Linked DNA regions of Saccharomyces cerevisiae S288C. The protein of the gene in region 2 interacts with the protein of the main gene of each other region in a biochemical or structural test. Each region holds a gene or a part of one and is shown on either strand. Other genes may lie near its edges. The genes, in order: CMK2 and GPP1.

Evidence for each region.
Region 1: the proteins of GPP1 (region 2) and CMK2 form a complex in vitro, tested with the Saccharomyces cerevisiae proteins (one large-scale study listed by BioGRID).

Annotation. Positions count from the first base shown.
Region 1 is NC_001147.6:288,633-301,363, reverse strand, and holds CMK2 (calmodulin-dependent protein kinase CMK2), read left to right. Parts: upstream 1-5,243; coding exon 5,244-6,587; downstream 6,588-12,731. Other genes in the region: YOL014W (uncharacterized protein), read right to left, coding at 1,297-1,671; IRC10 (Irc10p), read right to left, coding at 2,526-4,286; ESC8 (Esc8p), read right to left, coding at 6,691-8,835; t-SNARE syntaxin TLG2, read left to right, coding at 9,290-10,483; TOS7 (Tos7p), read right to left, coding at 10,811-12,466.
Region 2 is NC_001141.2:244,899-262,395, reverse strand, and holds GPP1 (glycerol-1-phosphatase GPP1), read right to left. Parts: upstream 7,282-17,497; coding exon 6,529-7,281; downstream 1-6,528. Other genes in the region: aminophospholipid-translocating P4-type ATPase NEO1, read right to left, coding at 1-959; DFG10 (putative polyprenol reductase), read right to left, coding at 1,477-2,238; PCL7 (Pcl7p), read right to left, coding at 2,626-3,483; isoleucine biosynthesis protein MMF1, read left to right, coding at 4,116-4,553; 60S ribosomal protein eL34 RPL34B, read left to right, coding at 5,333-5,369, 5,842-6,170; YIL054W (uncharacterized protein), read right to left, coding at 7,536-7,853; YIL055C (uncharacterized protein), read left to right, coding at 8,471-10,354; VHR1 (Vhr1p), read right to left, coding at 10,483-12,405; RGI2 (Rgi2p), read left to right, coding at 14,000-14,494; YIL059C (uncharacterized protein), read left to right, coding at 15,481-15,846; and 2 more. UniProt on the Saccharomyces cerevisiae protein: Major isoform of glycerol-1-phosphate phosphohydrolase involved in glycerol biosynthesis. Plays a role in osmoadaptation and required for adaptation to anaerobic conditions.

The DNA.
Region 1 (12,731 bases), on a different chromosome or scaffold from region 2:
TATACATAGTTTTTTTTAAAGAAAAAAACTACTGGATGAAAAACACACACACACACACATATATATATATTATACATCAGCGGAAATTACTCGATATCTAGAAATGCGTACACATGCTACATCGATCAGCTACGTCTGACCGAATACTTTTCAATAGTAAAAAAGGGGGCGAGCTGGGAATTGAACCCAGGGCCTCTCGCATGCTTTGTCCCCCTGTTAATCAGGAAGTCGCCCAAAGCGAGAATCATACCACTAGACCACACGCCCGATCTTTTCTGAGAACCATGAAAAGACTCAGAATTTATAATACACATCATGGCCTTCCAAAGCAACTCAGCCTATGTTGAAATGTAATTCTAGTACCATCCACTTATTATTGGTATTCATGTTACTAGTATATTATCACATACGGCATAGGAAGGTGACATAATGATTAAGGAACAGCTATCACATATAAAGGAAGCAGAAATCCTAAGGTTGATAATGCAATAGGATAATAAATGATAACATATAAAATGGAAGAAGAAGTAAACATTATCATAATATGTAGATATATCGACTCTCCTTTTGTGAATTCCTATATACTCAAGAAGAACTTCCAGCATATTTTGTATATTTAATATTATAACCTGTAACAACGATGAAATTCCAACAATTATCTCAAAATCACTCATATTTCAATTAGAGGGATAGTAATAGAAGAAGAAATCTGGTCCAAAATTCTTTTAATACTTGGATAAGTAAGTTATTCACGTAACAAAGGCTACACATTTACTATTCTTTCATGTAGAAATGCAATAAGCCATCTACGGTTCGTGGTGGAAAAATACAATAAAAAAAGAATCACCCGTAAAAAAAAGCTATGGGGGCATTGAATTGATATTCATCAATTACAAGTAAAACACTCCAATTTTTTGTCACGCTTATTAGAATATTAGCCTATACGGTGCTAAATGTGACATAGATTCCAACTCTCATCGAATTCAGTCGGAACAGGCGTGCAAATAACGTACTAGGACTAACAAGCGATAATACAGGAAGGCATGAGGAAATAATTGCAGACATAAGTAAAATCATTTCGTTATTATGAAGTCTATATTGTCGAAAAGCTTCTAATCTCTATACATAATTCTCCTAGGTCATTTAGAAACCAACAACGAGAAAAAAAATAATTGTAAAAACATAAATTTTGGACTGATTATGCCCTTGAATAAATTAATAATTAATGGCTGCTTCAGAATGTATTCATACACATATGCAACTTTATCTAAGTGCTCAAATATTAATGAGCTTTTCTCATAGTATAATGCAGATAAAAAATAATACTAATAGAAAGTACTGTAACATATTCGTTGGCTTCAGTGAAAGCGCATCGGACAGAGCATAATTCCTGGCATATGTTCTACCACAATTCCAATAATCGATGGGCGAACTTTTATTTTCTGCCACGTTAATTGAAGAGGAATAGCCGCAATCCAGGACACCATGCCAAGTAGATGTTGGCATATCAGCTGAGAATGTGGTTCCTGGAACCTTTTTAGTCAACGTTGCAAAAGCTGATTCATATGCTCTACCGCATGCCCAGTAGGCTTGTGCGTCTTCTGTTTCGTATCCAGACATGGCCGTATACATCACTCCCATGTTACCACAAAAAAAATGATGTGGTCGCATTTGGTGATAATGAAGTAGAAAATGTGGTTGTGGGGGAAGTTGTTGAATCAGACATTCTCACGTTACTTTACTTTTTTTGTTAAACTGAAATCTTTAAATAATCAAAGAGTTCAACGTTCGAGTAACTCTTTTTTGTTCTACTTTTAAGTAGCTTCACTTTTCTGAACAATTGAAATAGTTGAACAATTGACCACGCTACAACGGAATTTTGATAAAATAGCAAATGATGTTTTAATATATATAACTATTTATTATTTATGGTGGCTAAAAAATTTTCAGGTTTTCAGGCGACCTCTTCAGTATCCATTATATGCCGCGACAAACCCTTTTTCCAAAAACGGTCATCGATGTTTATTCCGAGTAGGCTCAGTTGCCTGCGCCCGGACCCTTCTTAAGGGGAAGTTCTCGAAACTTTATGTAATTTTAAGTTTAACATAAACTGTATAAGCCGCTGTAACACTGTACCAAGATAGGCGTTTTAATTACGGCCTAGATTGTTTAATATTTTGCTTAGAAATAATAGGGCACAAAAAAACATTCGAGGCTTAAAGTAGTGTCACATAAAAATGTGTCTTCTGGTACTTATTAGAAAAGGCTTCCCAAAAAAAGCACAAAAGAATTTAGTATTGAATGTTCATGCCCCTTGTCGGAATAAAAACGGAAAAAAGGGAGAGTAAACTAGTCTGTTGTAGCAGTAGGCAGTGATGATTATTCCTGGAAAAAATCAAAGATTCTGTCTTACACAACTTATTCAGTACAGTTTCGCTAAGTAAGGAAAGAAACTTTACAAGGGTAAAGTAGGTAAAGTTCTAAACTATATGTCAAGGGTGTCCCAAAATAAAAACTAACAGTACTTAATGAATAGAGTTCCTGGGATTGTGCTGATCCCAGTTTTCTTTGGCAGCTCTGAGCGCTTCTGCAACTCTATGTAGGCAATTTTTAAATCGGTTGACTTTTTCTCTAGATTTGTTCGGTAAAATGAGGTGTTCTTGTGATAAATTTTCTCTTTTGTTGTCACTTACGTCAACGCTCAGCCTAGGACATGATGTCTTAACCTTAATAGTTCTTCTCGACAATATATTTTTGAAATGTTCGTAATTTCTGAAGAAACTATTTTGTTTTTCAACACATACAGAACTTCTCCTCATGACAACACTTCTTACACTTTGATCTCTACTAAAGGTAGAATTTGGTGAAGCTAGATGGACTGGATAATATGGTGATGATTCCGATATTATTTTCAAATTAGGGGTCAAAATTCTGGACCACGTTGAAGGTTCCCCATACGGATCAGGAGCTGGGTTTGAGCAGACCCAATTTGCTGTTCTTCTCGAGATTGTCTTTGCAATAGCAGGAGTTATACGTTGCATTTCGGCTATCGCTTGATTAGTAGTGTCTTTTAAGGCACTTTCGTCGCTGGAAATTACTGTTGCATGTGTCAATTCGATTGAGAAGGGGTTACTATCTCTTGTGGCCTTTTGTTCCGGAAACGTAAGCAGTTTATTGCCTGAATCAGTAGAGACAGTTCTACCGATTTTTTCAAACTTCCTCTGTGTGGTGCTTTGTTCATTGCGAAAATTTGATCGGTATAAGCGATGTGTACGGTTTAAAGTAAGTTCTTGAAGGGTAGGATTGTTGCTTTCATTAATTTTTTCTAAAGAAAAATTACTTCTCAACAAATATTCAGTTTTTGCTGACGTTGTAAGTGGGAATTCGACGGAGAATGTTTTATCATCGCAAACGTTCTCACTTGTGCATGAACTTTTTGTTGTTTTTGATGTAGTGGCGTTCTTTCCCTTTTTATTCAATATCTTTTTCGATATATAGTGTAAATTTTTGGTGTCACTGTCTAGAGAAAGGAAAGTCTTTCTTGGTGTCTTTTCCCAATTTACAGATACTCTATAATTTACTGTCGTAACCGCAAAAGAATCCACTGAATCTAATTTTGACCATCTTATTGTTCGTTTGAAGGAAAAGCATAAAAATTTGCCGGTAAATTTTCCAATTTTCATACCGTCACCATGAAAAACTGCTCTTTTATCGTCAATAAAAACATTTGGAACATTAACGTTAGTTCTCAAATACAGAATTGCCTCGCCGGTTTTTTCATCCTTTACGCTCTTATATATGAGATCGTGGAAATGCTTGACAAACAAATTATTTAAATTTGCATGAGGTTCTGCAAATAGCAACATGTTGTTTTTAATCCTTCCAAGAACTTTTTTCATTAGTGCAAAATAGGGAGTGAAGACAGCATGGAAAGCGCTTTTTAACGTTTCATTCGTAAAGTTCAAACTGTTCACGGAACATTTTCCAGGCCAGTGGAATCGTACCCAATAAACAGTTGGACATAGAACTAGGACTGGCATACACTCTTCCATTTGGAGAATGGATATTAGTATAATGTAAATATAATTGATTTCATCTGGATGTCTCTCAAAGTCAGCAACGCTGATTCGTTGGATGTATTTGTTTGAACCTGCCAACAGCCTGAAGTACTCTAATTTTTGTTTGTATGTAGCGAAATTAGTAAATTTAGCCAATCTTAGCATGCCTCTAGAAAATGATATATTGATGCTTTCGAAGCCTGGTAATCTAGAGTATTCAATGAACATGATTGAAAAAGCACTAGGCCAGGTGATTATACCGCAGACTTACGGTAATATAAGGGCAAGAGAACTAAAAAAATCAATAATGTAGGCTTATATTACAGTTCTTTGTGAGATATTCCTTTCTAGAGCGTTTTCTGTGTCCACTCAATTAATATATACACTTCCCGTATCCTAACATTTACTGACACAATGATAGGCACAACGCGCGAAGGAGCGGTGGGGCTTTGAACAATAAGGACCCTTACATAGAAAAGGCGTTAGAACAACAATATGGTTAGGCCATAGAAACCTCGGTGTCTTTTAGGAACTTCACAGAATAGAACATACTGCAGTAGATATAAATACACCACTGGGGCAATGCAGCCTGGTTTTTTCCAAATATACAAAACACTTCATGATACTTACTAATGGTCGTTGATACAGTACTCATTGTATCATTGCAGGAGAGTTAGGTTGGCTTTTTTGCATTTATTTATTTATTCATTTACTCAATTGACAGGCAATGTCAATGATTTTTTGGAAGAAATTTGCCTAATGTTTTTACTCAGTTACTCACCGCTCCCTGGATAACATAAGGTTCATTTGCTTCCGTACTGATTTTTTTTGGCAGTCTATAAGCCACTATGTACTTCCCAATGCTCCTGCAGGCATATTCTTTTTCAATTTTCATGTTTTTACTTCCAGTCGTTGAGCATCATATGGATTCTATGTTGATGAGGCTTTTCAGAACGTGCTGTACTTTCGGAGAAGCGCCCGCTTTAACGCAGCGCGAAGAGAATAATTGAGGCTTATCTTAGAACCCTGCCCCCTTTGAAGCCACCCATTGCTGTTTCTCTTGGTAATCCTAATAATATAAAACAATACGATATTGTTCAAGATCAGCAGAACTTCAATTCGTTGATCAATCTTTTCGTCACCTTTTCTTCTATCACATCGCCAATATAAATATAGACACCAAAAATGCCCAAGGAGTCAGAGGTCATAAATTCTGAATTTCATGTAGATGTCCAAGATCCAGAGCGTCTAAACGGCCACCCTGTAGCAAAATTTATCAATAAATTAAGCGGTCAACCTGAATCTTACGTCAACAGGACTAATTATATTTTCGGTCGAACACTGGGTGCCGGTTCCTTCGGTGTTGTGAGACAAGCCAGAAAGTTGTCCACAAATGAAGATGTTGCTATAAAGATCTTATTGAAGAAGGCATTGCAGGGAAACAATGTGCAATTACAGATGCTGTACGAAGAGCTGTCCATTCTTCAAAAATTGAGTCATCCGAACATTGTGTCATTCAAGGATTGGTTTGAATCGAAGGATAAGTTCTATATTGTCACTCAGCTGGCAACAGGAGGTGAATTATTTGATAGAATTCTGTCTAGAGGGAAGTTCACAGAAGTGGATGCTGTTGAAATCATAGTTCAGATTCTTGGTGCCGTGGAGTATATGCATTCCAAGAATGTTGTTCATAGGGATTTGAAACCTGAGAACGTTTTGTATGTTGATAAGTCAGAAAATTCGCCTCTGGTAATTGCGGACTTCGGTATAGCTAAACAATTGAAGGGGGAGGAGGATTTGATATACAAAGCAGCCGGATCGTTGGGTTATGTGGCACCAGAAGTCCTCACACAAGATGGACATGGTAAGCCTTGTGATATATGGTCCATTGGTGTGATCACATATACTTTACTGTGCGGTTATTCTCCTTTTATTGCCGAAAGCGTTGAAGGATTCATGGAGGAATGTACAGCTTCGAGATACCCGGTAACCTTCCATATGCCATATTGGGATAACATATCTATTGATGTTAAGCGTTTCATCTTGAAGGCATTGAGATTGAATCCAGCTGACAGACCAACTGCTACGGAATTGCTGGACGATCCATGGATTACTTCAAAGAGAGTTGAAACTAGTAATATTTTACCAGACGTTAAGAAAGGGTTTTCTTTGCGTAAGAAATTACGTGACGCTATTGAAATTGTGAAGCTTAATAATAGAATTAAGAGGTTAAGAAATATGTATTCATTAGGGGACGATGGCGATAACGATATAGAAGAGAATTCCCTCAATGAAAGTCTTCTGGACGGCGTCACACATTCGTTGGATGATTTACGTCTGCAATCTCAGAAGAAAGGGGGAGAACTAACAGAAGAGCAAATGAAATTGAAGTCTGCATTAACAAAGGATGCCTTTGTTCAAATTGTCAAAGCTGCAACAAAGAATAAACATAAAGTTTTGGCTGGTGAAGAGGAAGACGATAGCAAGAAAACACTGCATGATGATCGGGAGTCGAAGTCAGAAGACTAAATTACGGACTTGAATTCGTGTACATAAATTCGTATATAATATTTAATGTGTAAAGCTAGTGACGATTTTATGTAACCAGCAGCTACACTTCATGGCATTCAAACTATAGACCTTTTCTGGCATTACGCCTCAAGCTTCTTTTTTCCCGAGAATTATCTTGTAGTTGCCTAACGGGTTCTGAGAAGATCTCTATATCATCACAATTCCTATCACAATCTTTAGCGCCATTGTGTAATTCTCTTTTCCCAAAAGATTTATCTGTCCTATCTTCACCTTTTCTTGTCAATGTATTCTCCTCACTCAGATATTCTGAATCATAGTCATCGCTAACGTCAATGTCAACTTCATTTTCACTTTCCTCGGAAACGTCACCATTTACATCACTCGAGTAATGCACCGTGGTTCTTCTCTGAGAGCTTGTTCGCAAATGACGTCCTTCAGTACTGCCTGTAGGGGCAGCAGTTATGCGCTGAATAGTCTCATTTATGAATATACTGAAAATTTTCAAAAACTCAATTAGATTGTCTATACCCTTTTTTGTATCATCGGTGTCATTTTCAGTAAGTGATGATAAACTTTCCAAATACTCAATGAAGTTGCTCAAAGAATTCGAGTCTCCTGCAACTTCAAACCAATGCGGCACCTCGGCAAAGTGAACATCATTGAACTGTAAATTACGGATACATGCAGGAGTGTTCCTATATATAAGTTTAAGTTGACACTTGTTTTCATTTTGTGCGGTTTTTGCAGGCAGTATTTTTGTACCCTCCTCTTTGAATTTTACGAAGTAATTAAGATAAGTTGACATGTCATTGAAACTGTAACTAGTGTTTACTGAACTGCATTCGTTGCCAATCCAGAATGGTGGTAAGTAGAAATCTCCAACTCGTGGAATTCTCGCTATCATAAACTCTGATGTCCTTAACTTGTAAATTTCGTCTACGGTGGGATCATCAATTGGTGTGTGTGTAAATTCGTTTGCAAAATATTCACCCCATTCTTCATTTATTTTAACTGCAGCTCGTAATCTGTCTGTAGTTACTTTTTCGCTCAATGATTTCCGAACACCCTTTAGAAATTTCATCTGACTATTGATCTTACTCAGTTTTCCTTTGTCGCTGGGCTTCCTTTTCTTTCGATTTTCCAACTTTTGACTCATCAAAGAGCATAAAACTTCACAACTATCTAATATGTTATTGGCCCCGCACATAGCAAACCTGCTGGCGTGAAAAGTTTGATGGTTGAACCCTGTATCGCCTTTCAAGTGAGTGAGCCTTTGAATTTCATTATGGAAAAGTGCGGAGTAGCTACAATTCCAATCGATCATGCATCTCAATAATATTATTCTATCTAATGGTTCCATCGTCAACAAACCACCTCCATTAAAATTTAGAGTAGATAAAATATCACTATTACCACGCCATTCTTTTGGTAAGCCCCACTCCTGGATTAAGCTTCTGAGTTTGCCAACCAGTTTTCCATATGGATTTTTCAAACTAAGAAATCTTTTTAGCGTGAAATTTCTATGAGTTTGGTTGTCTGCTCTTTTCTCGGAGCAGAATAATAACCTCAAAAGACTGCAAAATAGTAGATTCATTTTATCCTGACAAATTCGAATATTCTTCGCAGAATGGCCAGCCACCTTTAATTCTAGTCCTATCTCCACATCTTGAAATGACAGGTTCAGTAGATCGTCGCTGAACACCCATTTAAATTTGACGATAAAAGAAAGGATCTTCATAACATCGCCTGCATATGGGAGAGGGGTGCAAAGGGGAGGCGCCCAATTGCTTTCCGTTACCGTCTCATCACTCATAAACTTTGCAAAGTCAGAATATCGTAAAGGAATATTTGGTGACCAGTTTAATGTATTCAATGGTCTATTATTAGAAGTAGTGTGTTCACTGATCGACTCTACCTTGTTAGTGTCGTTCGAATGTGTTTTGATATTAGAATATTTGCTTGCCATATTTGCCTCCATTTCTTTAGTTTTCATTTCTTCATCACAGGTACCTTCATATTTCTCCCGCTTTTTAGTATTTTGGGTAGCAGCATCCAGTGATTCGTCAATTGAACTATTGTGAGAAAGTACAACAGGTTCTTCTACAATTTTGATGTTTCTGAAATCATCAAAGGTCAACTGACCCCTTCTTTTTACCCTAGGCTTTGAAGACTGGTTTTTCTGTTGTTTGACCATAGGTTTCTTGATAAAGTCATCGACCAAGTCTAAATCAATAATTTCTGTCATTATTGTACCTCAAATTTCTTGTTCCTTATTTTCTTGTTTGATGTCTAAAAAAAAGAGATATCCTGGTAATGAGCAGGCCGTTTCTTCAGCTCATACAATCGAAAGCTTAAGAGTTAGTCGTTGATATGGTATTCTCTAATACCGAAAATAACTTAGTACATATAAACGCGTAAAGTTCACGCGTTTATATCACCCTACCATATGACATTCTAACCCTACTAATTTTTTATCAAAGCTAATAGGGTTGTATTTTATTATCTTTTACACCTACCTTTTTTTTTTGTATATGCCCTATAGATGAATTATAATTGTTGGACCGGTTTGTATTGGGCTTTTAAGGTGTAAAGTGAGTGCGTATAGATTATAGCAGAATAGACTATAAGTACGGCAAGACAGGAAAGTCTCCAATTGATGTACATTTTATCGCTTTGTGATCTAGGCAGTCGTTACAAACATGTTTAGAGATAGAACTAATTTATTTTTATCATACCGTAGGACTTTCCCTCATAACATAACTTTCTCATCTGGGAAAGCACCCTTGGGCGATGATCAAGATATTGAAATGGGTACATACCCGATGATGAATATGTCTCACGATATATCGGCCAGATTGACAGATGAACGAAAAAACAAGCATGAGAATCACAGTGATGCGTTACCACCCATATTTATTGATATAGCGCAGGATGTTGATGATTATCTTCTGGAGGTGAGACGGTTAAGTGAGCAGTTGGCGAAGGTTTATAGGAAGAATTCGTTACCTGGCTTTGAAGACAAGAGTCATGATGAGGCGCTGATTGAAGATCTAAGTTTCAAAGTAATTCAGATGCTGCAGAAATGTTACGCTGTTATGAAACGATTAAAGACCATATACAACTCTCAATTTGTGGATGGTAAGCAATTAAGTCGAGAAGAGCTGATTATACTAGATAATCTACAGAAGATCTATGCAGAAAAGATACAAACTGAAAGTAATAAGTTCAGAGTATTACAAAATAATTACTTGAAATTCTTGAACAAGGATGATTTGAAACCTATCCGCAATAAGGCCAGTGCAGAGAACACGCTATTATTAGATGATGAGGAAGAGGAGGCAGCAAGAGAGAAGAGAGAGGGCCTCGATATTGAAGACTATTCAAAAAGGACGTTGCAGAGACAGCAACAGCTTCATGACACTTCTGCAGAAGCATATTTGAGAGAACGTGACGAAGAAATTACTCAGTTGGCAAGGGGTGTATTAGAAGTGAGCACTATTTTCAGGGAAATGCAAGATTTGGTTGTTGACCAGGGGACTATTGTGGACAGGATTGATTATAATCTGGAAAATACAGTGGTAGAGCTAAAAAGTGCAGATAAAGAGTTGAATAAAGCAACACACTACCAGAAGAGAACTCAAAAATGTAAAGTCATTTTATTACTAACATTGTGCGTAATAGCGCTCTTTTTCTTTGTTATGTTGAAACCACATGGCGGTGGCAGTGGTGGTCGTAATAATGGTAGCAACAAGTACAACAATGATGATAATAAAACAGTTAATAACAGTCATGATGACGGCAGTAATACCCATATTAATGACGAAGAGAGCAACTTGCCGAGTATCGTTGAAGTAACAGAATCTGAGAATGATGCTTTGGATGACCTACTTTGATGACAAAACTTTCACGGTACCGCATCGCGATTTTGAACTATAATATGCTTTGAAGAAAATTGAGAGATTTAGTCAGCGTTCATATGACCTGTTGCTCGTTCTATTTGAGAAAAGTGAAAAGGTTAATATATGATTTCAATAAAGTATGTAGTATGATAATAAAATACAAATTTATATGGGATAAAATTGAACCGCAAGTAAAGACTGGCGAACGAATATTGTGCATAAGTAGTTCCTGAAGATGATAAAATATGGTTTAATACAAGTTGGTGGTTATTGTGATTTGTAGAATATAAAAAAAAAAAAAGAACCTTCATTTTTCTTTTTTTACCTAAATCCGTAAGGATTGTTCAGTGAAGTAGTAGCTCGGGGCAAGTTTTTGTTTTGCATTCTCCTCTTATAGGCAGGCTTATATCCTTGTGTTATCGGGCTTTGGTTTGGTAAAGGATTCGGAGCAAAACCGACGCCTGGTACCGGATTTCTGTGCTGTGGCACTTGGTTTGGGGCAACGTTGAAATAAGGATTGCTTTGTAAAATAACATTAGAAGGATCTGGACCAGCAGGAGTAGTTCTTTGATATAAATTGTATTGATGATATTGCTGCTGTGGTTGCTGTTGTTGTGGTTGTAGTCGTTGTTGGGGATACACTAATGGCGCCGGGTGTGGCTGACCAGCGTACGGCCTTATATTTGCAGGACCAGCGGCTGTTTCTCGAGGCATTTGATTGTATACTTCCGGATTGACACCTCTCTGTGATATTGAAGTCAACGTTGAATCTTTATCGTTGTAGGAGGACATGCTGTTGATGTGGCTATCGTTTGGTTCATTGAAGGAGGTCTCCATGATGTCGTTTAGTAGTCTCGAAGGATTTCTGTGCGGTATGACCTCTCTTTGAGAGTAGTCTGAGGACGCTAATGATGCACTGGATGATATTTCCGTTTTTCCTAGCGGAACTTTATAGTTTATATTGTTGCTGGTGTTACTACCATTGTTTCTCACATAATTATTAGAAACACTCCCATTTTTCAAGCCACTTTCACTTTCAATGACAGAATACGTTGAAGTTGACCTCCTTTTGTCATAGGCCATGCCATCGTCCTCTTCTTCATTAAGTCCGGAACCATTTGAATTTTCCATGTCCTTTGCTTCTTTATCGAAAGTAGAAATATCAGACGTGGTAGAAGTGGTTATGTTTGATAATTTCGGATCTTGATTGTGTGAAATAATATCTGGGACAACAGTGATATTAGTACCGTTCTTAAAATTGTCACCCAATAAATTCGTTCTTGAATCACCACGGAGGTTGGCCTCACTATCAGCGTCGATATCGAATCTCCCGGACTTCGAACTTAGATATGGGTCATTCAGCAGCATGCCCTTTTCTTCCAGTTCCTCGGTTTCGTCATCATCCCTTGAGCCTGAGCTTCTTGAATAAGCTGAGAATATCAAAGGAATTACTAGTAGAGATAAAGCAGCTCCTGGTATCAGGACCCATGAACACCAGGTTACATGTGGGTAAAACAGTAAAAATACCACGATACATATCAAAGAAGCAGAAAGAAAGCCTAGAGTGGAAAATGTCAAATTAACAAAAAACATGATGGCAGACGCACTACCAACTCTATCACTGGATAGCACGTTAATTAATAAAACGCTCATGATGGTACAAAGAAATCCCAAAAAATTAAGACCAGCAGCAATGGGTGTGATAAAGATGATTTTCCCCAATATAGACCTAGCGTTGCTATTGAGTTTCCAGTTGCTATCACTGTCTGATAGCTCATCGGGGTGATAATTATAACTTGCTTTTGAGCAGGAGCCCTCTTTACAGTAGCCGAATGTACCGTATGTGATCTCATCATATTTAGAATAGCCTATTTGTTTGAAAATTGGAGCCGTAATGGATCCGATAATGAGAAACGCCATAGTGACGAATTGTGATAGACCCACAAGGAAGAAAACTACCGAAGAATTTTTCTTCATAGCCTTTCTTATATTATAATCTATTAATGTTTACTAACTTCTCTGCTATAGCTTGAGTGAAAAATGGTATGTGCTTGGACAAGCTAAAATGAAATGATGGTCTTTTAACGCTGTGCCTTGTTGTTTCTATTGCCTGACACCTGAAGATATAAGTTATATATCGGAAAGAGAATGCAAGAAGAGACAAAATTATGACTAGCTGATCAAGAGGGTTTCTTATCAACAAGGATAAGAGACAACAGGACATGCATTACCGTGGCTTTCT
Region 2 (17,497 bases):
GGACAGGCAACACGTAGTTTCCAGTCAGTCTCCCCATCTAGTTGGTCAGTTTTGATAAATGACTCGCCTGATGGTTCACTTGATTGTAAAAGAACCAAATCAGCGGGAATACGATCACCTTTATGGACTTTTATGAGATCTCCAACTTTTAAGTCTTTGCTTGGTATGGAACGATTTCTCGTTATTACATGATACAGTTCATTGTTTGACTCTCTATCACGTCTCCTTCTCTGAATATCATCTATAGCTTCCTTTGCCATGGTTACTGTCAGCACAAATGCTAAAGGTACAATATACGATGATAAATACCCTATTCTTAGTGCAGGAACGGCCTGCGATAATGCAACTACTAAAAAGTATAAATTGTAAAAGAATTTGAACTGTTCATATAATAGGGTTGGCACAAAAGTAACGGCATTATATTTGGCATTAGATAGTTCATTCGAAACGTATCTATTCCTATCGTACACAGGAGTCGTGTCTGGATGTATTTCTCTTTCGATGTGTTGATCACTGAGTTCTATGGGTGAACCAAACTTGGACCAGTTTTTTGTGTTAGATACTTTTAAATATGAGAGGGCTTTTGAAAAAATATTGTTTGAAGACGACGGTGGTGACGAAGCAATATTAGTAAATTTGAAATTATCATCCTGCGAGAGGCGATTATCATACATCAAAGGATGGGTATCTGTGTTTGAAGACTTACGATGCGAATCCGAAGAATGGTTAGAAAAATTGTCTAAATCATCTACTGTTCTCATTTCAAAACTTTCCCTATCTCCAACAGTGTTATGCTTACTAAGTGGTTCTGGGTTATTATTAATTTGTAAACTGTCTAAAGCAGCGTCAAATGAATCGTCGAGATGTAAGTCAAAAGAATCTACACTGTTTGCGTGTTGATTATTGTTGGAGTTGAATAAATTCTGCTTATGTGACTTAAATGAAGGAGGGTTAGGCATTTGTCTCTGAAGTTTTCCGTGCACACTGATACCCCTTTCTTTTTCAGATTAACGTTATGCCACACAAGTGCTCTGATTGTTACTTTTTCTCAATTGCTTAACGGTATATTGCTGTTAATAAGCTGATTGTTGAGTACTGTATAAGCTTCAAAAATCCAGATGAAATCTTTTATTGCGTAGATCAGGCTTCTAATAGCAGCAAATTCAGGTGAAACAATGCCTAAAATATTAAATAAAAAATAGGTATTGAGTAATTTTGGTCCTCGTTTTAAGTAACGAATGTGTCCGAAATTCCCAAGATGTCTAACCTTTTGTTTGGCAGTGATAGGTCTTAGCCACTGTGCCAGTATTTACTCTTTCCAACTGCCTCAAAAAGGTATGGCCTTACCTTCGTTTTTAATGACACGTATACGAGCCTTTGCTGTCTAATTAGTGGTAAAGTGATAATAGTGAAAGTAAAGTGGTTCTTTACCGCGTCTATATATATATGTATATGAATGCCCTAGTGTGCACATTACTAGATTATAAAAGGTATTATGGCGTAGGGGGCTACGTGATTGTCTTTAAATTTGTGCCTGTAATAATTTTTTGTTTCCAATGCGGATATAGTCAAACTTGTGATTACCCAAACTAGTGTTAGGTAAAATTCTTGTTCATAGGGCAACAGAGTAGAATAAATGATTATTTCATCGAGATAATGAGGACAGCATACCAACCTGAAAAGCCTTCCTGTTGGCAGCGAATATTTAACCAGATTGGCCAGAATAACATGATTTTTGTACTGATCCCAAGATGCTATGCAGAATATGATGAAAGCATTCATGTTTAACGTATTTGGAATGGAGTTCTTGTACAGTGATATATTAAGAATTAACAAGAGTACGGAATAGAACCATATACCGACTAGATAATGGGACCAATTCATCCTAGAATTGCTTGTATAATGTAGTACATAAAGCGTTTCATAAAGTCGGCGCAATGAGTGTCCAAATATGATCCAAACGATGGGGAATTTAGGATAGAAATATAAGGTGACTAAGGATAGAAAGGTAGCCAAATAGTAAAAATGGGAAAAATACGCCTTTGGAACTGTGAACTTCTTGATTCGTTCTAAAATGCTTGAGTACTTTGAATTCTCTTTGGGCCGGTAGGTTTTACCATATTGAAGAAATTCTGGTAGACAACTTTTTGCTATGAAAAGTGAGCAAATGCCTACAAAAAAGGATAATCTATAGGCATATATAGTATATTTTAGCAATTGTTCTTCATCAAAGTACATTGGACTGGTAGATTCTACGTTTTAAGCCAGATCGGTCCGCCGATAAACCTATTTATATTCCACATTTGGTATATTTTTACTTTTTCGAAACGTCCTTAATTCTCATTTTGGAAAAAAAAGAGAAAGCATAATACTGAATAGAACAAGGACCGAATTTCTCTTTACCGGTAGATTATGATTTATTTGGGCAAAAAGTTTTTTTTTTCATTCTATTGCAATAGCTATCATTTCAGGAGAAATGCTACTAATATGAAAAACCACTGATTTAAAAGGAATATTAAATTATTTAAATATAACCGATATGTACGCGTTACGTAAATCAGAAATTGATATGTATAATACGAGTAACGGTAAGGGAAGGGCATGAATAATATGCAGGACAGCATTCTACTGGTCGTTCCAGAATTTATATAACAAGTTTGCATATTTCTGCATTTCTTCGACTGAAACCAATAACTTGAAATCACATAGTATCAGGAATTGTAATTCTAAATGGTTTAACTCTTGCAAAGAAATACCTCCAACCTTGGCGTATCGAGAGTTACTGTAAAAAAAATCACTCAAGAACTTCGTGCAAATTGTGACACCTGTTATGAGCAATCTATGAATGTTCCCGGAGTCCATGACGAATAATTGCTTTGCGCAACCATTACGCTCAGAAGAATGCCCATAATTTTTGGAGATTCTATCGAAATATACAAGGAGAGAAAGAAAAATATCATTTGTGGTGGGACAGTACTTTTGAATTCTCTCTAAGTACTGAACAACAGCTATCTCTGGAACATTCTTTCCATAGAAAGCAAGGATTGGAGTTAAGAGTTCGTCTTCGGTCTCATCCGACACTTGTTGTGAGACATCTGTAGTTTCATCGTTTGCTGTTATAATTCTGTTGAGTAGCGCACTTATCATTAGTATGAGTTCATCTGTGGGAAAGTCTGCTATGTTTAAGATCTTTACATCAGTCTGTTCATTTGTCTCCTCGTCCAGGCTATGCGTTTTTGCTTCCGACTCTAAAGACTTCTTTACAGCTTGTACAGGAGAACAATCTAGTAAAGATTTCGAAGAGAAAGGGCTTTCCAAACTGGGGTTAGTAGATATTTTGGACAGCAAACTACTATTGTTACTTGAAAATGGATCGGTCTTGAAGCTGTGAGAATGTGGTCCGATTATTAGGTTATCTCTATTCCCCCCTGGTATATTTATTGGCGATGTTGTGGTTTTTTTTGATGGTGAACTTAGCTCCATATTTTTCTCTAGTGTAAGCAGTCGTTCGTTCTAGCTCGGTTTGCTTTAGTCTGATTACAGTAATTAATGTCTGTTAACTTTTGTTGTACTATTTTAAGAACCGTAGATGAATATATAGATATACTTTTTGTATATATAAAGGTTTGAGATGTTGAAGCCTGCGCTGCTATCCCCTGCTTTGTTTACACCGTTTTGGACCCATCGCAAGATACCGAGATTCCGAAACCGGCCTCAAAACTCCCAGAGATTAGGCGCGATAGATAGTAATACCTTAAGCCATAGTATGCCTATGGATGCAAAATGCAATGATCACTGTCCATGTTATACAATTAAAAGAGCCCGTAGAAAAGTGCACAGGCGGTGATCTTAGAAGACCAGTGCTGCTTATTGGATAAGTCTCTATCATTGAAGGACGTTATTCACTTTGCTCCTGTGTACGCTCTCATTTGCGGAGATGCGATTCCGCCTCTGTCGCTCATCCAGCGAAAAACACACCGTATGGATCCCCTGATATATATAAATACATATGACTAAATGGGTCTTACACATGCATAAGAATTAGGTTAGCTAGTAAATTGTGTGAGATTTACAGGTAAAAAGGACAACACATACACACAAATATATTACCAATAATGTTTTTAAGAAATTCCGTTTTGAGAACAGCTCCAGTCTTGAGGAGGGGTATAACAACATTGACCCCGGTCAGCACCAAGTTGGCCCCACCCGCTGCCGCCTCTTACTCCCAAGCTATGAAGGCCAACAATTTTGTGTACGTGTCTGGTCAAATCCCTTATACTCCAGATAACAAGCCTGTTCAAGGTTCTATCTCTGAGAAGGCCGAACAAGTTTTTCAAAACGTTAAGAATATCTTAGCAGAAAGTAATTCTTCTTTAGACAATATAGTCAAAGTCAACGTATTCTTGGCTGACATGAAAAACTTTGCCGAATTCAACTCTGTATACGCCAAACACTTCCACACCCATAAGCCTGCAAGATCCTGTGTTGGTGTTGCTTCCTTACCTTTGAATGTTGATTTAGAAATGGAAGTTATCGCTGTTGAAAAGAATTGAAGGATTGAAACTTCTTTACTGCCTTTTTTCCACTTGCGATACCGAGGAGTGTACATTTATAAACATTTTAGTAGCATTCTTTAGCGTATATAAGATTTTAACTAAGAAAAGAAACGAATTTACGGAGTTTCAGAATCAGTTTCTTGCCGTTGTAGAAAATGTGAGGGGAGTTTCCCTCTACTTGTATCAATGTTACAAGACAGGGGTAGAAACCTATTACGTGTTGGAACTTATTTTCTTGAACACTCTAATCATAAATTCTAAAAAACTGTGACTGTGTTTTCGTCACAACTTTGCGGTGTACAGATGTCGTCACATACCGTGTGTTGTTTGGGTGTTTTCCTTTCAGCTTTTTTTTTTTTGAATTTTTGAATTTTTACTTTCATTTGCTTTCGGAGGTCCCGCTTCCGACAATAGTCCGCTTCATTTGTCCCTTCCCATGAAAGTTCATTCCTTTGGGCAGAGAGACCGTCCTTCTGGGAGGAGATGGAATTGACGCCTGGGGGAGGAGCCAGTAACAATTCTAACTCTTCCTCTTCCTGTCAGTGGCCCCAGCACCCGTTCAGACGGTATGGTAACGGGCTCTCAGGAGCCGTTTCATCGCAGCTGGTGGGTAAGTTTGGAATGTTTCAATAGCATTCTACGTAAAAGTTGATGAACTTATTAGTTGTAAGTAGTAAATAACGGGTAGTACATAGTATTTGGCACTTGTTATATTCTTTTGATTCAATTTACTTTGATTGAAACTGAGAATAGATTAGCAACGAACAACCCTAAAAATGGCTCAACGTGTTACTTTCAGAAGAAGAAATCCATGTATGTTACTGAACTATTTTTTTGAGTTTTCATGAAAACTTATTATGAACTTATTATGAACTTATTTTGAACTTTCATTGTGGGAAAATGAGGTTAAAAGGCGAACGAGTGCTATTTAGAGAAGCGTACCACTTAGAAATAGGAAGAACCAGATCATCGATAGGGGAATCAACTATGCAAGAACTTTCAAATATATTGGCATGACATTAAAACATTAGACAGCATGAACGAACAGTATCCAGTAATGTGGACAGCAATAAGTTGACTTCAGTTTCTAAGTGGAAGACCTTGGTCGACCCAAATGGAAAATGAATTTTTCTCCGCTGTTGAAAGATTGAAATGAGATAATATTCATTCAGCAACGCCGAAATACTTTTCATATGGAGCAATCCCACTCAAGTTCTTAAATCATAGGATAATAAAGAAGTGATTACTAACATTAATGGGAAAATTTTCTCTTTACTACGTACAGACAACACCCGTTCTAACAAAATCAAGGTTGTTAAGACCCCAGGTGGTATCTTGCGTGCCCAACACGTTAAGAAGTTGGCTACTAGACCAAAGTGTGGTGACTGTGGTAGTGCTCTACAAGGTATTTCCACTTTGAGACCAAGACAATACGCTACTGTCTCCAAGACCCACAAGACTGTTTCCAGAGCTTACGGTGGTTCCAGATGTGCCAACTGTGTCAAGGAAAGAATCGTCAGAGCTTTCTTGATTGAAGAACAAAAGATTGTTAAGAAGGTCGTTAAGGAACAAACTGAGGCTGCTAAGAAGTCTGAAAAGAAGTCTAAGAAATAAATTTAAATAAGCATTCCTTTTATAATTACTCTAACTTCTCGTCGTACTAAAAAAAAACACTTTTATAGTAAGATATAAAACAAAAACGAAGATTGAATCTTCCTTTTTTATTTCTGTGTTAAATTCTCTAAACCAGCTTGATTTGCGCGAACCACCTGTCACGGCAGATCATCCGAAGACGACAAAGAAAAGGATGCATTACATCGGTTTAAATTTTTCTATTCGTATTTTATAAGTATTATATTATATTATTAAGTCATGCAGATATAAAATTATACAATTGGTCGGAAATGGAGGGAAATCATACATTTTTATTTTATTTTTAGCGTAGTAGTTTTATCAAAAAAATAAAAGAAAATTACCATTTCAACAAGTCATCCTTAGCGTATAAGTAGTCATCAAAGATCAATTCGACTTCATCGGTTTCAGCGTTGTATTCACCGACTCTGATAGATTCGTGGTTCTTGACAATGATGTCACAACCCTTTTCCTTCAAGAAGTCCAAATCGAAAGTGGTAGCAATACCAACGATTTTACAGCCAGCAGCCTTACCAGCAGCAATACCAGCTGGTGCGTCTTCAAAGACAACAACCTTAGATTTGGATGGGTCTTGTTCATTAATTGGGAAACCCAAACCGTTTCTACCCTTTAAGTATGGTTCTGGGTGAGGCTTACCTTGCTTGACATCATTGGCGGTGATGAAGTATTCTGGTCTCTTGATCTTCAAAATGTCGAACCATTTCTTGGCCATGTCACGGGTACCAGAGGTGGCGACAGCCCATTTTTCCTTTGGCAAGGCGTTCAAAGCATTACACAACTTGACAGCACCTGGAACTTCGATGGAGTGTTCACCGTACTTTTCTGGGATTTCACCTTCTAGCTTGTTAACGTATTCTTCATCAGCAAAGTCTGGAGCGAACTTGGCAATGGCATCGTAAGTTCTCCAACCGTGAGAGATGTGAATAACGTGTTCGGCATCGAAGTAAGGCTTGTCTTTACCGAAATCTCTCCAGAAAGCAGCAATGGCTGGTTGAGAGATGATGATGGTACCGTCAACATCGAATAGAGCGGCGTTGATTTTCAAAGATAAAGGTTTTGTGGTCAAAGGCATTGCGATGGTTTGTATATTTGCTTTTGTTGTTCTGATATATTTTAAAACATTGAAACGTTTCATAACAAGGAAACTTGGAAAGAAAAAAATGGCAATCAAGAGATACTTACGAAAGATTTATATACATTATCAATTGAACGAAAATGAACAAGACGACAATATGAACAAAAAGGAAAGAAAGTGATTAACAGAGTAAGAAAAGAAAAAAAAAGGAAAAAAGAAAAGAAAAAAAGAAAAGAGGAACTCACACATCATCAAAGGTCAAAATGGTCAAAATGGTCAAAATTAAAAGACACAAAGGAAAAGGTGAGTAAGGAACAATAAAAGCACATACCATCATCAAACAGCGTTAAAAAAATTATGTTAATGATGATGATCGCAAGAGTAACAGTGATAATGGTGATGATGATTATTCCCATAAAGAAAACCGGACAATGAGAATCCTGCAATTTACCAGGCGCACGCGGGTTCGTGTATGCGAGAAAATGATACGGATTTCCTGCTTGTCTCACTATTAACGCGTGGCGGGGTAAGACCCAAGGAAGACAGACAAAAAAAGCCTTCGGGGCCATGCCATGTCATTGCCGTGGACTGAGACAATTACAATATTGCTTTTGTTCTCTTTCTTTTGACCCTGTGACGTGTTTCGTAAGAATCCCACTTAAGAGATGAAAAAGAAACGTGGTGGTACTTCGCACCCAGACCATACGTCTTCCACTCTCTTGATGGGAGCGGCGAGCTTCCGCACCCACACATTCTAATTGCCGCGCCTTCCTCCCACCCGTACAGAGTGATATCCCTTGGTACGATTGACCAGGGTGTGTGGCGCAAGCAAATTTTCCGTTTTAGTTCAATGATGTCTTAATTGACACTGCGCTTGTTTTGAGCGATGGGTTCGCAGCCCTGGAAGACCCGCAAAAAATTAGGGGAATGGAATATATTCTCTACTCCATTTTTCAAATGTTACCTTTTGTTTGTGTGCATTGTATTATTCCATAGTCGTAATGTTGGCCTTCTTTCGTGCGCTTTCCTAAAGGTTTTTACGCTTGCTTAACTGTTAAGTTAACAAGACTTCCTCCCACACTTGTTTCTTTCATTTTTTTTTTTTTTTAGATTGGTCTTGGCCTCCAGTTCAGTTGGCTGATACACGAGAGTTTGCTGTCTCTCCTTACAATACGCTTGCTTTATAATGACTCTAGAACCACACTATAGTGCCAAGTCGGCTGCTTCAGCCAGTGCCTTTGTTGCCCGTTCTGCGACCGAAAGCTCAACAGCAAGCACAAAAGCTGCTCCTAGGAAAAAGACGTACTCGCAGTCAAATGGTATTCCCATAAGGATTGATAATCTCCCTCCGGGCAAGACTTGGGCCCAGGTAAAATATTTGATAGGCGGAATCATATACCATACCAATATTTTACAGGTGAAAATGCTGCCTCCAATGACTTCCATGGTTCCTCCTTTTATTACTTTTCAGAGTTGCATTGTCATTCTGAAGAACTCGATAGATAACGAGTCCCTGGAAAACTTACTACTTACTTTGAACACCTACCAATGGGATTATCATGATCTGTTCGTTTACCTGTTGCCGTACACTAATGATTCTCCTTCACTGCGATATCCAGAAATCAGTGATAGCAACAATGACGTCCGGAGTGCTCCCGATGAAACTAAAAGATCTATTTCTCCTCGATATGCAAGCCATGTTTCATCTGTGACACCGCAGCCACCATCCGCTTCTACCCCACCTTCTCAATTTTTCAGTTTTTCTCCTGAAGTGAGCCTTCGAAAGAATGAGAACATAACGCCATTGCCCACGCCTGTTCCCGTACCTGTTGGTGTGCCACCTCTTGCTCCCCCGCCTCATGGTCCATTTTCGACTTCGATGCTACCTATGTTGGGTGCTCCTCCGGGAACGGTACCTAATATGCAGATGCCCTATCAAACTACTCTACCTTCACCAACAGCTGCTGCTACTGCTGGTGGTCCACTTGCTTCCCCTACACACTATCCCCGTCGTCGGCATTTCTATCACCAGAACCAAAGCCAGTTTCAAAAATACATGCATAATAGCCCCAGGAATCCAGATACTGGCACAGGCCCTCGTCTTTCTCAGCAGCATCACCTCTCCTTAAGGAACAATAAGATAAATCCCTCTTATAACGAAATATCTGCCCTTTACAACTTGAACATGGCCTCAAATTCCAATAATAATGGTAATATTCCCACTACAAGTACGAATGGTGATGACCGTGCCCTCCAAGCAAAGAATGGTGGAACAATTACACCTTCACAAACTCAAATAAATCACAAAAGATTAAAGCATATCTTTAACGAGAAAAGCTTTAGAAAACAAATGACGAATAGAGGTATGTGGCAGCTGAAGATCATAAATTTCCCACCCTATATACCTATAGAATTCTTGGAGAAATTATCAGAGTCTGATTTCAATGAGTTAATGAACCAAGAGAAGTTCACAGTTATTGAAATTAAAGAGAAAGGACAATTGGAAAAATTTGGAAGGCTAAGATGGACAGTTCTAAAAGATTTTATAAAACTGAAATGCCCCAAGCTATTAAGACTACAGGAAAGACAGTTTCTACAGCAACAAAACGAAGCATCTTTACTCAATGAATCTATGGACGCTCTAAAGATATCAGAAAATGAGAACACCAACGGGAGTGCAAATAATAGCACATACACAAATGGCGGACCTCGAACATCTATCAATAATACAAGGGAATTCTATGTAGGGGTTTATGAAGATCATGAAGAAGCAACTCTACTGAGGTTTGAATTACCGGAAGATGAATTAGAGGAGTTTAATAGAAATTTGCCAACTACTTTTGCACAAAGTGGAAACGTCTCTGACTCCGAAGGTGATAGCAAGGCGAAATACTTTAAAGTTAGCACAATTGTGTATAATGCCATTGTTGGGTTCCACGATAAAGAGCTGTCTGATTTGACGTTCGAATCCTTACAAGACCAGGAATATTCACTGGGGTACAAAATTCATGTAATGGAACTGCCACCATTTGACGAGGATGAATTTGAAAATCAACGGCAGCAGTTCTAAGCATGGATTAAGAGGATATTATTATTTTATCTTACATAAATATGTACGCGAATTGAAAAAGAAAAAAATATTGTGTAGAATGTGTATTAGGCAGTTATGTATGTAGACAATTTTGTTTTGTATTTTTATCAAAGTAAAGGCTGGAAAACCGGCTGTGGTAAATTGCCATTTTGAAAAGAATTTTTGTTCTTTGTAACGTATGGCGCTGGCACAGACTCGTTGTGGTCATTATTATTTGTGTTGGAGGTGGAGGTGCCAGTGTTTAAAGTAGTGTTGCTATTTTCTTCATTCATTGGCGATTTAGAGATCCTATTAAGGATGTTATCAAAGGCAGTTAAGCTTGATTTTTTTGGATCATCTTTTTCTTGTGGTACCAATGGAATAGAAGGCATAGAGGGGTTTTCACCTATGCATGACATTTTGGGCAACGTAATGGGCACTGGTATTTTTGCATCTTGTAGTGGAATGGTGGAAATGTCCTTAATTACGAGATGAATCTCGCTCGTGGAAAAGGAATCAAATAACTTTGCCAAACTTTCATCGTTCAAGAGGTTATCGTTATGGAAAATACCAAAATTCTTGTTCTTGTTGATAATATTAAATAAATTTTTACAGTTTTCCAAAACTTCAGACACCGTGGGTGGTCCATTGCTCAACTGGTGGAAAGTAAAGGCTTGCTCGCGATCATTAAATCTAATGATCACTCTGCGATTAACATCTTTATTGGCCGATTGAGGCTTCATTGGTAGCGTAGTTAAAAGTGTAGCTCTATTCGATAGAGTGTTATTATTATTCAACATAACGTCACTTGAAACGACAGGAGGGCTTCTCTTAACCCTCTTGTTAGGTGAAGATGATGGTGGTTCTGACGCACAGGAACTAGCCAAAGGATACTGAACCATCACAATATGATGTATGATTTCACTTAAAGGGTAAAGCGTGGGGTCGAAGCCAAAATCCTTGACAATACCACCTATGACCAAATACAGTAGCCTTAGTTGTACCTGAGCCGCGGGGAAATGAGATAAGTTATGTCTTGTAGCGGCACCGAACAGTCTTTGAGACAACAAAGCCAGATTTTCAGGAGAGCACGTCTTGGCAGTGATATACTTCATTGAAGAAGAGACCAAGTTGGAGAAAAATCGTTCGATAACGAATGCAATAGACATTCGGATTGACATTTCACCCAAAATCTCCAGATTTGCGTATATATCAATGGATCCTGCAGCCTGCGAAATGTCCTGACAAGTTCTTGATCTTTGGATTTGTAGGAGTAACTTTTCCCTCAGGAAAAATGGCACGGTAGAATCTATCGGGATGTTTGTGGTAATGTTAGGTTGCTGGCTGAGTGAAGACGTAGCAAAATGTGACAGGTTTGGCCCAGTATATGGGTCCTTGAGAGCTTGTTCTGATAGGGGTACGACATTCGTAACAAGATCGTGCACTAGCATGGTGACTATATCGTTATACTTTTGTTGGGTCGAAGTAACCGATGGAGATGAGTCATTTTGGGTGCCCACGGTTGGAAAAATGGTTCCGTTATGACTCTGGTGACTCATGAGAGGCTGGAACTTGTTTGAAAACTGGAAATCTGCAGCATAATTAGAACTAGGCAGGAAGTCCGAATTGGAGCGCTGGTAGATCGACGGAGAGATCTCGTCGTCAGAAGTAGAATTTGACGAGATGCTGTTGTTGACATTGCCGCCACTGCCATTGGCTATGCTGAGAGCGTAGCGTTTTTTTGATCGTTTTCTATTCCTTCTCACTGATTGCACAGCAGCAGTGACTAACTTTTCGAATTCCTTAGAGCAGCTTACAGGGTATCCAAACTCCGTTCTTAATATTGTAGCAATCTGCTTTATGTTTTGATCTTGTTCGCTTGCCTTATATTGACTTAGTTGGAATTTGTCTATCAGCTCCAGCCTTCTGCTCGAAAACTGTTTCCATTTCTTTTCATCATTAAAATTGAGTAATTCTCTAATCTTATGAGTTGCTCCATTCCCAGAAAACTTATTTATTCTATATTGAGTGAATGTTGGAGGACCGTTCATATGTGTATAGGATATAAGCAACGAAGAAGAATAGGTAGAAAGAGAATAAAGAAGGTTTTAAAGCTATAACTAGTAGAAAAGAAAAATGTAGGAAGGGAATGCGGATGCGTTTATGCTAAGATGCGATGGGGACAATAGAAAAAGAAGAGAAAAAAAAGGAAGAGGAAGAGGTAGTGGTATAGAGAAAGAGAGAGAAAAAAAAAGGCTAGTAGTATTTGTATAGTAGGGAAAGGGCTAGATTAGAACTGAACCAAGCTGACCTGAATTGACTCAATAACACCATTCTCACCCACACAAGTACCGAAGATCCAAAAGGCAAGAATCATGGAAGAGAGCACATTGATTTATAGTAAAAAAAAAAAAAAGAGAAGACGACGGTAGAAAGATTTCAGGGAACATATGGCTTACACTTATGCTGAAGAAGTAAGAGGGAGAAGCGAAGCAAATATAATCTGTCACAATGCACAGTGCGCAAACGTAATCTGCCCACTCAGCTAATAGCTCCTGCCATGATTCTGCTGCGTAGTCTATATGAAAGGAAACGAAGGTCAGAGATGAAAAAGAGATAAAAAAGAAAAGAAACTTCTCCGAGGGGCGCAGAATTCAGGGCAAAACAACATGGAATCGATCAAAAGTCATAGTCACCCACGGAAACGTGGCGCCTATTCCGTGGCAGCTACCCGCCCGCCGCTTGTTCTCAGGGCACTTGTCCACTGCATTCCGATGTTCCGCGGAAATTAGCACGGCCTCTTATCCCCGGCTCCGCACGATTCCCTGTGTCCGTGCATAACGAATGACTCTTGTGTCGTGTTATCCGGGCTTTCTCCTTTTCCTTTCCCCGAGAAAGCAACCGACGCATACGGATATAAGCGGATCCCACCGAAAAGGAGACTCCACGGTCTTGGTGAATAACATCGCGCAGATTATTCTGCGAACCGTGGCTAATAGGAGCATGCCCGAAGAAATGATTATGGGTGCGTGATCACCAATCTGTGTGAGGCTGTCGAAGATATCTGATAATCAGTAAGCGATAAAAAAAAAATAAAAATAAAAAAATAACGACACCAGCAGGATTTGAACCAGCGCGGGCAGAGCCCAACAGATTTCAAGTCTGTCGCCTTAACCACTCGGCCATAGTGCCTAAAACAATGTAGGTTATTTAAGCAAGTATTGTAGATACTTTTCGTAATAAACTACAATGCACCCACGACTCGCGGTGTAATGATGGCATGAAATCATTGAACGAAGTTTTGCGGCTATACGGCTGAAGGACGAGACTAAAGGGACAGGAATTATTAATGCGGGGTATAATTTGAATAGTATTAACGGGCACTGCCGTTTAGCCATCAAATGCTATTGTTGGGGTATTCTCTCTACTTTTTGTTCTTGGCTTGAACCTTTTCGGCGGTTGGCAATCGTCCGTATATAAGCATCGGCTGTCCCAATCCTCTATTGCCCTTTTCCCTTGCACCTCCTTCTCAATTCTTCGTATCTTTCGCGTAAAGGTAGATCTTGATTCACCTATCTGTCGAAACACGATTAAGTGCAAACGAAACAACGTACAGTATATAACAAAGTATTTTAAATAATAAGAATGACGAAAAAGGATAAGAAAGCAAAGGGTCCTAAGATGTCCACCATCACTACAAAAAGTGGTGAGTCCTTAAAGGTTTTTGAGGATTTGCATGATTTTGAAACATATTTAAAGGGTGAGACGGAAGATCAAGAGTTCGACCATGTCCATTGCCAACTGAAGTACTATCCACCCTTTGTCCTGCATGATGCGCATGATGATCCGGAAAAGATCAAAGAGACTGCCAATTCGCACTCTAAGAAGTTTGTTCGCCATTTACACCAGCATGTTGAGAAGCACCTGCTAAAGGACATCAAAACCGCTATCAACAAGCCAGAATTGAAATTCCACGATAAGAAAAAGCAGGAATCCTTTGACCGGATTGTTTGGAATTATGGCGAAGAAACGGAGTTGAACGCCAAGAAATTCAAGGTGTCTGTCGAAGTTGTATGTAAACACGATGGCGCAATGGTAGATGTTGATTACAAGACAGAACCCTTGCAGCCACTCATCTAAGTTTGGGGAGCTGTTTTTATGAATTAACGAAATTTTATGAATTTACGAAATATAGCATGCTATATAAAATAATTTATATGCGCATGTATTTTGGTGTGCACCTTCTTACTGGAGTGTATACAAGTCTACAAATCAACACATGTGGTTTTTTTAATGTTTTGTCGTCACAACGCGACCTTAAATAAAAGAATTCCACGCTAGATTCATGCTACTATCACGAACAATACGTACCAATTAAGCTTTCTTGGTGTAATAAAAAAAGAGAAATGTACACACCACCATGATTCCGTTTACGTCTTGCTTTTCTACTTGTTTCGCTCATGGGTTCTCATCAGCTCTATTGTGTGTGCCCTCTTTGTAGATAATTAAACACATTGAAAAAAAAGAAAACGAAAAGATGGCACACGGCTTGGTCATCGAGTGAAGAAATGAAACTTCAAAAAAATTGCCGGACACTTAAACCTTAACGAGTTATACAGAACCGTATCCAGACCTGGAGCTGGGCTATAAGAAGAAGCGACAATATGGTATACTAAATTTCTGGACTCGTAGTCACTCAGTCTGTTTGTCAGTAAGTCACGTAGACCTGTATCGGCAGTAACTATGGTATTTTTTCCAGATTAATTATTATACGATGTTGTTACTTCGATAAGGTCACAACAGGTTTTCCATTGTTGAGAAACTGACTTTGATTATTATTTAGTTAGTAGGCAACTGTCATGTTGCAACCACAACAAGCAACAATCCTTTCACCATGACTATTATAAGCGGCCGGCAAAATTGCCGGGAAAACTGCCAGGGATATAATGCAACCTTCATTTGAGCACTTAAAATAGAAGATAACGTTGGTAAACCCCCCTTGATAGTGGACACATCCTACGTAGATCTCTCTACAGCCAAGTCGTATATATAGCAGCAAATTGCAACCAACCACATGGGACATAGGAATGAGTGGTTTTCTCAGACCCTGAACGTGACCGTCCATCATGAATTTCTCCACAGTTTTTCAAGCAATAATCGCGGTTTTAGGTTTAACTACAGTCACAGCTTTAGCAGAATTTGATTTCGACGTAGGCTATGAAGAGTTTGTCCGTACCAATCCTGATACGATTTTCTTAGAGAGTGATATTGGCCTGCACGTTGGATATACCGAGGGTGGCGAACGACAGATAGCAACGATACCACACAATTCCACGCTAGGGACTTCACTACGTGAGTATAGTGGCTGTGGTGGTAATGGTACAGAAACCTCCATCGCTACCCCCGCACCTACAATGAGTGAGGTACCTATCGCTACCTTCGTGAAACGTAGAAAAAGTGTACCTATCTTGCTACCGCAGGTATGTATGTGAAGAGTTGGTGAATTTTGAGATAATTGTTGGGATTCCATTTTTAATAAGGCAATAATATTAGGTATGTAGAATGTACTAGAAGTTCTCCTCGAGGATTTAGGAATCCATAAAAGGGAATCTGCAATTCTACACAATTCTATAAATATTATTATCATCATTTTATATGTTAATATTCATTGATCCTATTACATTATCAATCCTTGCGTTTCAGCTTCCACTAATTTAGATGACTATTTCTCATCATTTGCGTCATCTTCTAACACCGTATATGATAATATACTAGTAACGTAAATACTAGTTAGTAGATGATAGTTGATTTTTATTCCAACAGTATGGGAGGTATATGAACCCCTACAACCACTCATTTAGAAGTGGGGGACTGTAGTTCTTTTATGAAGTAACGAAATTTTATGAAGTAACAACAAATGTTGTTAATTGTAATCTTAATAATCTAACATTTAATAAATCTTGACCTTAGACTTTTTTGTCTATTCATAATATGCTGATATTACTTTTCTTAAATATAAATATAATCTATATAATATTATTAACGAAATGTAGGAAGCTAAAAAAAAAAAAAAAAAAAAGAAAGAGACTTTTATGCGTATATTTAGGTACCCCGGTACTTACTTCTGTATATATAAATCAGTGAATCAATACATATTTTTTTTTAATGTTTTGTCCTTATAACGCGACTTATTCAAAAGAAAAAAAGAAGTCCCATGCAAAAATCTTGTCATTATTGCGAATGGATATATCAGTGAGACCTTTTTAAGGTTGTAGGGAAAAGGAAGTACGCTTCATTACAATTTCGTTCATGTCTTGCTCGCCTACTTGTTTTGCTCATAAATCCCATCAGCACCATTGTATGCGCCCTTCGTAGGAAATTAACGCATCTGAAGAAAAAAAGAACTGCAAGATAATGACACACAGCACGGTCATCGACTGTCGAAAGGAAACCTTAAAAAAGTAATCGGCACCTCAACCTTGATGAATTATAATCTATCCAAGTATCCAGACGACGTGTCGAGACTTTTCAAGCCAAGGCCACCTTTATCTTACAAAAGACCAACCGATTACCCATATGCGAAGAGACAAACAAATCCAAATATCACTGGCGTTGCAAACTTACTATCAACCTCTTTGAAGCACTATATGGAGGAGTTTCCTGAAGGATCTCCAAACAACCATCTCCAAAGATACGAAGACATCAAACTTTCCAAGATCAAAAATGCTCAATTGTTAGACCGGAGACTACAAAATTGGAATCCTAACGTTGACCCTCATATCAAGGACACAGATCCCTACAGAACGATATTTATTGGGAGGCTACCATACGATCTTGACGAAATTGAACTGCAAAAGTATTTTGTTAAGTTTGGCGAGATCGAAAAAATTAGGATAGTCAAGGACAAGATAACCCAGAAGAGTAAAGGCTACGCCTTCATAGTTTTCAAAGACCCAATAAGTAGTAAAATGGCATTCAAGGAGATTGGAGTACACAGAGGTATCCAAATCAAAGACAGAATCTGCATAGTCGACATAGAAAGAGGCAGAACCGTTAAATATTTCAAGCCAAGAAGATTGGGCGGCGGCCTAGGAGGCAGAGGCTATTCCAACAGAGACAGCAGGCTTCCAGGAAGGTTTGCAA